2 linked regions of the Schizosaccharomyces pombe genome follow. The protein of the gene in region 2 interacts with the protein of the main gene of each other region in a biochemical or structural test. Each region holds a gene or a part of one and is shown on either strand. Other genes may lie near its edges.

What was found.
Region 1: the proteins of tgp1 (region 2) and pho7 are reported together in a solved structure, tested with the Schizosaccharomyces pombe proteins (one study listed by BioGRID).

Annotation. Positions count from the first base shown.
Region 1 is NC_003423.3:1,344,310-1,349,900, forward strand, and holds pho7 (transcription factor Pho1), read right to left. Parts: upstream 3,666-5,591; 5' UTR 3,157-3,665; coding exon 940-3,156; 3' UTR 803-939; downstream 1-802. Other genes in the region: protein Cbp4, read left to right, coding at 4,071-4,107, 4,195-4,313, 4,492-4,554.
Region 2 is NC_003423.3:349,535-354,450, forward strand, and holds tgp1 (plasma membrane glycerophosphodiester transmembrane transporter), read right to left. Parts: upstream 2,878-4,916; 5' UTR 2,836-2,877; coding exon 1,249-2,835; 3' UTR 776-1,248; downstream 1-775. Other genes in the region: SPOM_SPBC1271.10C (transporter), read left to right, coding at 1-525.

The sequences.
Region 1 (5,591 bases), 990 kb from region 2:
GTCCCAAAAATAACAAAGTATTAAAAGTGTTTGCGCTGAATATGATAACGAAAAGTTTTAGAGTGCGTTATTAAAATTTACAGTTTTTCCTTACACTTTCTTATGCACATAGGTGGTATACCAAATGATATACTTGATTTATTAGAAAATAGAGTAACAGATATTATTATTGAATAATAAAATGAATCTTGAAATATTGTGTCAATTTAATGTTTGCACCCCTTTCTATGAACAAGTAAATTAAAACAGCATATGAGACAAATTAATTATATATGCGATCGTGTTTATCACATTCACAACGAATGAATGCAAGTGTAATGTCAAGCCATTATACCAGGATATCCAAACTGGTATAAATTAATAAGATTAATAATGACAAAAATCTCTTTACAAACTCTAAAACGGAAAAAGAAGCAAATGAAAGTTGAATGCACAATAGGCTAAATAACAAAACGTTTATAACAATAGCAGTAAAAATAAGAAAACGACACACTTAAATGGTACAAATACTTAGAAAATCACATATAGTAACTTCTTTCGTCATCTGTACGATCACATTTATCCCAAAACGACTTTCTTTCCCAAAATATACCCAAAAATAAATATAAATAGACACAAAGAAAACGAAAGATAAAACATTCTTAATCAATGTAAGCAGAATACAAGACAAAAAGGGCATCCATAGTATATCAAAATTACTAGACCGATATTAGAAAGATAGGTCCAGATGGCAATTTGGCAAAGAGAGAGAGAAGAGTAAAAAAAAAGTAATAAATGGGAGTAAAAAATCATTTTCCTTTTTTTTTCACATTGTCTTACGTTTGATCATAAGATGATCTGTCGTCTGACAATATTCATAGTGTAGGTCAATCTACTGAGAAACACTCAAATGCAAAAACAAAATAAGAAACGAGAAAAACAAAGGTAATATGCGCAAAATTATTGTCTAAAGGGATGATTCTTGAATGAATCGGCTTGGTTTTGATGGAAGTTAGGATAGGTTCCATGATCGACTAGCTCATGAACGTTAAAGTCGGGTCTAATGTCTCGTGTAGGTATATCATGAAATAAAAGCATGGATGTGTACGCTAGCTCCTCCGCATGGGTATCAGGAAGCATATTCACATGATCACCATCATGTTGTTCAAGCCCGCCATCCTGTTGTCCATGTATTCCTCTTAATGAATGGATACATGGTCTTTCTACCACATGCTGTGACGAATCAGTAGCTATTGAAAACGAGTGTATTCTCCCACGCCAAGAAGGTTGATGATCCGGTACATCTTCTTCCTCATCATCAGCAGCTTGGGATTGATAATAATAAGGAACTTGAGACTTGACGGGATTTGGGGCAGCAGGAAACTCCGAATTATGAACGTCTGGATAAAAATGGTGCATTGTTTCCATATTCTTAACAGTACCATGTTGATTTTGTCCAGGCATAGCCGTTTGGTCTATGTGACGGTCAAAAAAGCTAGAATCGTGATGGTTCATTTTTAAATCGGGAACCTCAAAATGGCTCTGCATGGACAAATTTTCGTGGTCATTCGTTTCTAACATCCAATTGTTCACATTCTCAGCGGCAATTGAGCTTTCGTTATACGTCGGTTGATTATGCATTGCATTACCGAGTTCCGTATGAGATAATAAGCCATGGACTTGTTCAGAAGGTAAACCATGGATCTGATGAATTAGCAAAGAAGGATTAGCTACAGAGTGTTGCGCATATTCTCTTAGAAAATGCTCCTCGGTCATACCAACTGGATTAGTAAAACTTCGGTTTCGAGATTTTCGATTAAAAGGCTTTGAACCAGCTGAGGAAGTTCCAGTTTCGTCCATGTTAGATACCGCCACACCATCCATTGATGTTGAATTGAAATGATCATGATGGACAGCAAAAGGAGGAGTGACATTAGGTTGAAAGTTCTTTGAAGCAGATGAAACAAGTATCTGGGGTTGAAGATTTAGTTCTTGTTTAATAGCTGAGGAAGGATACTGGGCCATTCCGTTTTCATCCATCTGTCTGGAAGACATGGCAAACTGATTGTCACTTGAAGGATCCAACATTTTAGAACTGAGAGAATCTTGCGTGGAATGACCAGAAGATGCAGTAGTTGACTTGGTGTTGTTCGAAGTATCACTCAATTTTTTATAAGGGCCTCTTCTAACTCCCGTTGGCCGTTTCTTCCTGGGTAAATCAATGCAATCAGTTTTGGCTTTAATACAACGCTGACAAGGACGAGCGTCATCACATTTTTTGTTGTCTTTTTGACACTTTGCGCAAGCTCTCTTGGCCTGAGGAAGTCTTTTCTTAACTTTACCGGTAGTAGCTTTAGGCTTTTTTATAATTTTATTCACAGTGGAAAGAGGAGGAGTCGTGTTGTTGGAAACGTTTAAACTACGATTAGGAGATGGACTCCCGGCGGATCCAAAAGGTGGCATAGAGGTTTTAGGAGGATCGGGTGCTGAACAAACGCGCTGCAAAGGAGCACCATCCTGATGATGAGCTTGCGCATTTGAATATGCAGTGCCCTCTGGACCATATTGAGAATAGGGAGACAAGTTGTATGGATTTATGTCTGCCTTCACTCCAGCACCTTGTAACTGAAAATAAGCATCTTCAGGACGATAGGGAGAGTTGTTTAAGGGAATCGGAATATTAGATAATGCAGGAGGATTTGAGTAAAAAGTAGGAGAGTTGTTTGAATTAGGGTTAACAGATGCAACCACCCCAGGTGAAAAACTATCAGACGATGGAGAACGATGGTAGTATGGAATTTCGGTATTTTGGAAATGGACGTCTTGAGACTGTTGCATAGAAACAGATCTTGGATAGTATTCACTCATGCCACCGGAGGAAAACCCAGATGCATCCAAGCCAATGTTTCCCACAAACGGAGCATCATTTGGATTTGGGTTTTGCACTGAAAAAGCAGAGGGAGAAGAGATATGAGAGGTGGAAGATGTGGAGGGATGTACAGAGGCAGAATGAGTACCTTCTACTGGGCGGGTAAGCAATTGTTGCATATGATGATTGATGAATTGATATTCTGCATCGTAATCGGGTAATCCATAAGGGAAAGGAACGGAGGACCGCTTGTAATGTGGATCAAGCTCCTCATTCTTAGAAGCAGACTGAACGACTTTCTTCTGCATACAAACGAAAAAGACAAAAGAAATATGATAAAAGTAAAGCCTTAAACAAATGCTCCTTCGTCTTAAGAAAATTTAGGTTACAAAAAGGCAATACAAAAGAATTGGAGACAATGAAAAGTACCAAAATCCCTAAATCAATGGCTCCTTCACTTTCGTCGCTTTTTGTGAATCAGTATGGAGATATGGGCTATATATGGAAGAAGAATAAATGCGTTTGGAATACTAAGATCGTTGTGTAAGAATAAGAAAGAAAACAATCACGCGTAAAAATATCCTTTATGATCAACAACTTGGTACTTTTCTTTTGAAAAAAACCGCAGTTGAGCAACACTTTTTCAAATCAAAGGTGCTGATATGACACGAACGCGGGGGGTAACAATGATAAATTTTTAGCTCAATCTCGTCAAAGCAGTATAACTGTTTACAGATTTAATATCACTTGTAAACACTTGAACGATGAATTCCTGACAAAGATGAGAGATTTTCTTTTATCGTGTTAGGGCGAAGTCGACAGATCTGATTAGCGGTGGCAGCAGTAATAAATTAGCATGTACAGGGTGGTGGGGCATAGCGCAGTAATCGCCTTTAACACTTTACCTTAAAAAACCTTATATTTAAGCTACCACCGCATTGCGGGGAGATACCTTTTTCGACAATCTTAGCGAAACAGCGCTCTGTTCTGTTAAAATAATAAAGATCAATAACGGAATACAGCGTATTTCACAAGGCCTTGCAAACCGGCCAACCATCCATGGAACGTCTATATAGCACGTATAGGGTGCCTTACATAACATCTGTGTCTGCAATAGCATTGCTGTCAAGAGCCTATACTTACTGTTATTTTTTCTCTGTATTACAACCTTTATTATTGTTTGCTTTTTGCAGACTCCATTTTGAATTGTTGTACCTAAAGCATGAATCGTGTGGTTAAAAGTATCGTATACGGTGTTGGTATGGACATTTTGAGATAGGATCGATTTAGTTGAAAAGATTCTATCCCGAACTTAAGATTGTGTTACTTACCAGTATATAAAATAGGAATCGTTGGATTTGGCTATATGACAATGAAATTAACAACTCCATCTCCCGAACGAGTTGTCAATTCACTTCCACCGGATCTTCGAGCTTCTTATGAAATGAACAAAAAAGATCGATCAGTAAGTATACATAGCGAATCTTTTTTAAAACTGTTTGCTCCAGGTTCTGAAGTGGGTTTGGGGGTGCCACAAAAGAGAGAATATTAAGTCTTCCTTAATATTTCCCTTTACCTTCTTCAAACGTGGTGTTTGCTTTCAATGGTTTTTGTTCGTATTCTATGAAACTGACTTTGAGTAGCAAGCCGAAGGTGTTTTACGAATGATTGAAGACGCAAAACGAAATCCTAAAAACCTTGTTTAAGCGAGTATTCTTACTCAATTCATTTTAATTTTATCATCTCAATGTTTCGATCTTCCTCTCTCAAATATATATCTAAAAGTTACTTTCCTAGGACTTACAAAAAAACGAGCGTTTCCCATTGATGGGTCATTTTCAATTTTCTTGTTTCTTCATCGTGCTACTATTGATGATTTCTGATTTTTTTTTTTTTTTCACTTAATCTATCGCGTATTCGTATAAAACCTTACAAAACAAAAAAACGTAACTTGTGCTTATTTGAAAATTAATGATTCATTTGATTATGGATATGAACGATAATGAATGACTATTATCAGACCGTTGTATTTTCAACAGTGTATATATTACTTTTGCCTGATTTGACTCATATCAAGCCCACTATCAATAAAAATGGAAGACTTGTAAGCATCCAGCAACTTCAGCTCTTTTGAAAGCGAAATAAGTCTTTAGTTTCCTCACTTTAAATTTTGGTACTTCTTTCTCAAAATACACGAGAATACATCCAATAGGTAAACACCCCATTTCCACGTATTTGTAACAAAAAACACATTTTCATTTTGAAATCGTCAACGAAACTTTTAATGAAATACCTCGCCCATTCTGGTATTTTGAGAGGCTTATTTCCCAAAAGTATTGATTGTTTACTTGCTAATATACTCATATGAAACGTTTGAAAAAATGATTTGACGAAAACGATAAGTAATATAGATATATTCTTAAATCTACAAAGAGAATGATGATTGAATACTCAGCTGGTGTCTTTCATGAGGAAGCGTGTTGTACAGTTTGTTGTCTTGAAGACAGCTGTTTGCTTCACCATTATGAAATACTAACGCACGATTCTTCAATGGAAAAAAATGCTTGAAAAACTCTTTATGTATTTGATAATGTAAAAGCCCTTGCTAAATTCTTTATGTTAATGGAGGCGACAAAACCATTGGCGTATGTACCATGTATTTCGGTAGTAGCATTTTTTGCTACTGCTTAACATCAAGTATTCGATAAACACTTGAACATTAGGGATATTACTGAATTTTTGT
Region 2 (4,916 bases):
TTTACTCTTTGGGCTGCGAAGCGTAATAATGGTATTAAAGAAGCCGAATCGCGTTTATGGTTGATGATTTTGCCTTGCATCATAAATCCAATTGGTTTGTTTATGTTTGGAATTGGTACAGCTCGGCATTGGCATTGGGGACCTACTTATGTGGGTCTTGGCTTTATTGGTTTCGGTTGGGGTTGTGCCGGTGATATCTCTATGGCCTACCTGATGGATGCGTATCCTGGAATGGTATTGGAGGCAATGGTAGGTGTTTCTGTGATTAATAACACTTTTGGGTATGTATTTACGTTTGCCTGTCAAAGTTGGATCGATAGCCTTGGTACGGAGCGTACTTATATTTCAATCGGTGTATTGTGTTTCATTTTTATCGCCACCTCATTCCCAATGATTCTTTGCGGTAAAAGACTTCGCAAGTGGACCGCTAAGCAGTATTATACATTTTTAAACGTTCGTAATCGTTTAGACGAAAAAATTCCCGACCAAGATCGAAGAGGTCAGGATGGGGTTGAAAGTCGATAAGCTGGATTTCATTATAAGTTGTCGCTCTTTTGGGTCAATCCTTTATGTTCATCATGTCTATGTGTTTATTAGTCTAACAAAAGTGAGTTAAGTTATAGTGAAAAAAGTTTTTATTTTTTTATTCATAACAACAAGTAAGTAGGGATAATCACCACTTACAAGCGCTTTATATATAAAATTGAGCAACCATATGGGTTAGAATTATCAAGAAAAAATTAAGACTCTTAAAGTCCGTTAACGCCATAATGCAGATATTATAATTTTTTCAATTATTTAACAGTAAACACATTAAGCAACTAATATTCATGATTGGATGGATAAATCAGTACTATAACAGAGTAAGTAGTACTTAACAATTACGAAAAAAGATGAAGACGAAAAGGTAGCAAAAGATCAGTTGTCCTACCATATGTCTAATAGCCCTGACTTCCACTGAATATAAAAACACGGGCAAAATCAGCCGTCAATCATTATCAAACAAGGTATTTTGTAAAGTCAAAGTCAGATCAAACATTTGCAAATGAAGTTTGACTTTTAAATTTTTTAGATTTTTTGAAACACAACAAGGCAAAAGACTAGGTAGGCTTCCCGCATGATTTGTATTTAATAAGGGTACAATAAAAAAGAAAAGATTAGCATAAAATGATATGATGAAAAGAAAAGGTCGCACTCAGGAAAGGGCTAAGAAATTATTAATAAGCTTGATATACTCAATGCTGCGAATTACTTGAAAGCAGGAGGGCGGTCGGGTTCTTCCAGCTGCTCTGGCTCGTTTTTCTCGTAATTGTAAGGATTTCCATAACCAGCATCGATACAGGCTTGAATAAATCTCTTATCCTCATCCTCAATGCATGTCTGCTTAAGTTTTGGAACGAAGAGAAGGGCTAAAACAGCAACAAAGATAGCCATCGCACTTGCAGCATAAAAATAGTTGCGCACTTGATCACCACCAAAAGCGTAAACACCTGCAATAGCACCACACTTGCCAATAGCCGCAGCAATACCGTAGTAAACACCACGAATGGCAGTAGGAGAGGTTTTGGAAGCAAGCAAACCAATGTTGCCACCGGGACCGAATTCACCCAACGTTAAAAAAATACCGTAAATGACACAGAATCCGGCAATCTTGTGGACCAACTGGTTATAGAATCCGGACATGAAAAAGCCGAAAATGGATTGTAAGACAAGACCGGTGATCAAACAATATTTAGGACCAAGTAAATCAGAGAAAACACCTCCAAGTAAGGCACCAGGAAGGTAGAAGGTATTGATTAGAACATTCCAACCGAATGATCTAGCGGTAGAAGCATCGGCGGGTAAAACACCATCGACAATGGTACTGGAATACAAGCCAAATGCAAAGGCAGAGAGATCGTAGACAAACCAAATGAGGCAAAGAATGAACAAGCGGAAACCATACATTTTCAATACAAGTAGCCAAGGGATTTTAGTGAGGGGAACTTTATGTTTGACATAGGTTTTGGGATCCTTCATGGCAATACGGAAAGGGAGAAGAACGCAAGGAATCACAAGACCCAAGCCAATAGAGAGACGCCAGACAATACGCAGATGGTGTTCGCCAAAGATACAAACTAAAATATAGGGGACAAGAGCACCAACGACAAAACCAAAATCAATGGCACCGTCCGTAACAACGATAAAGGCAGCATGGCGCAAACCCGATTTCAGTTCGTTGGAAGACTCTGAAGCAGCCACGGAGCCACAAGGATACTCAGCACCAATTCCAATACCCAAGAAAAATCGATAAGCAATAAGGGCAGAAAGCATGCCATTGATACTGCCCTTGTAGCCGTAAGCACCCGTACACAGGGCTGTAGACACAATCAAAATAATTGTAGCGGTAATCATGCCATTCTTACGACCAAAGCGATCCGAATACCAACCAAATGACAATTGTCCGACAATGGTGCCGACATAAGCAATCATACCAATGTCCTGCAACGACTTATTGTGAGTGGTTTCCTCTGGGTAGAGTTTACGAAGGATAGTAATCACTGTACCGATTGAATTGGAGCAGTAACCATCAGACATCAAAGCAACACCGGCGACAGCAACGTTTAAGAAATGCTTCCATTGACTAGTTTCCCGTGAGCCACCCTCGATGTCGAACTCGGCTTCTTTTTCTGTTACATGAGCGCCTGAGGACTTGTCGTCCAACTTCTCTTCATCACTGCGATATCGAGTTACGGAAGCTTCAATTGGCTCTTCAACACTAGGTTCGCTAACCTGTCTAACTACTTCATCTTCGCCGTTGTCGACATATTTTGATTCATCCCAGCCACCAGACATTTTACGACCAGTTTTGAAGACTTTTATTTTTTTTTTCACACTGAAATTTCTAGCTGGCAAGCCTGCCACCTTAAATACCTACACGGTAAATGTCAAGTCTGCTAATGAACAATGCAAAAATTTCCTCCTTTCTCAAACACACTCGCTACAGATAGATTTACTGCCGACTTACAAGTCTCGAATAACACAACCAATGACGCTTTCACACTTTGACTTACTGATTTGAATGTCCGAAGGAAAAAGCGATTTATTCGTAAGTTCATTTTAGCAGGCCCCTGTCTTAATTTTAACACAGTTACTTGAGTCTATCACCACCACATTGCTCATGAATACTGTAAAAGTGACATCTTTGAGTTGGCATTTGCCGATGCATCCCTTGTCGCATTTTCTCTCTTGAGACCCAGGCTGGTATTACGATTTGGCAACCTCATCCTGTGGGACAAAAGTTAACGAAACCTTGATAATGACCACATGCCGTTTAACCCAAGGAATTCTCTTCCCGTGTAGGGATAATTGGTTTGTCAGACAAATGTCCTACACATGAGGCAACCATGCCGTATCAGCAAAGCAAAAAATGAAGTAATAGAATTGGTTGAAGTAGATTATAGTATTTCTAAGATTAACCACCATTAAATCACTCACAATTCGTTCAATTGTATGCAAACCAAGGCCCAGGCTGTACAATCATCCTGACCAGATAAACTGTCACATTTCATCGTCATTCGTGTGAAAGATAAAACATGACAGTCACGGAGTCGATATTTTGTGTAGTTGAGGGTGACAAACAACGGACGGCAAAGGAAAAGAAAAAAAAATAAAAATAAAAACGTTTTATTCTTGGAAGCAGTTTAAATTGAGTGAGTGCAAAAAATTCATTAGTGCAAAACGTACCATAGATGCAAAAACGATCTAGTAAAGTGCAAAACAATATAGTGAAATGCAAATAAAGATATAGTCAATGCAAAAAATGATTAGACCATGCAAAACGTTGAAATGCATGCCCGAGTTTAGTTTCGTTTGAGATAGTTTTAAGGGGGTTGTTTGAATATGCAGACAAAACGACTCGTTCTGCCAACATCAAGGATGAGTGAATTCATAATATTCACTCTCCCTTGGGTTCATTTGATTAAATTTGATATGACACTTTCATCTTTCACATCACACAGTCAGTATGTGAGTGCAGCATTTAAAAAAATTTCACTTCGTAAAACTATGATAAAGTCGACAATCCGAGCATTCTATGCGTATTTCGTTAAACAATAGAAGCAACAAGATTGGTATGCATAGTCAGTCTAGTCAATTCAATTCAATTCATTCGAATAAACTATAGGAACGAAATGAATATCATAAACAGAGATTTTGTGTAACAATGTATATTAAAGAGATAAACACATTAAACTTTTAATCTAAAACACAACACAAAATAGAGGGCATCCTCGACAATGCCTTGCTTCAACAAACCCTCATCACACAAACACATACAACTCCCATCCATCAATAGATGCACACGATTCACAAATCAATGTATGTATATCCATGCGATCCATTGCATCAAGGAGGAATGATGGAATGCATGAATGAATGAATGGAAGGATGAAAAAATAAGGAATTGAAGAAAGGAATTACTCATTAAAATTAAAACAATGAAAAAAAAATGATTTAATTCTTGTTGCTTACTATATTCATTTTGTTTTTGATTAGATTTGTATGTTAATGATTTTTGAATAAAAATGTTGTTAGCCAACTTTTCATTTTAACCATGCACACATGCACACAATGCTATTGCCTTTGGCGACTGACCTCAAACCAAACAGCAAAGCAAAAATTGCCCAAGAGAAAAATAGAATAAAATTTAAAAAGTTTCCATATTTGGATATGGGTACCCTGTATATATATGTATGGCGACTCCTCAGACCAATTTTGTGACTGTTTCTTTTGAGTCACAATTTTGACTGAAAGGGAGTAAAGCACGCAAACATGACATTCCTCAGCTCAGACGGAATGTGGCCCGATGTAAAGTAAAGAGGGTTCAGGGATTGCACGTTACCAATATTGTTTCGATACAGACGTGTGGATTGCAA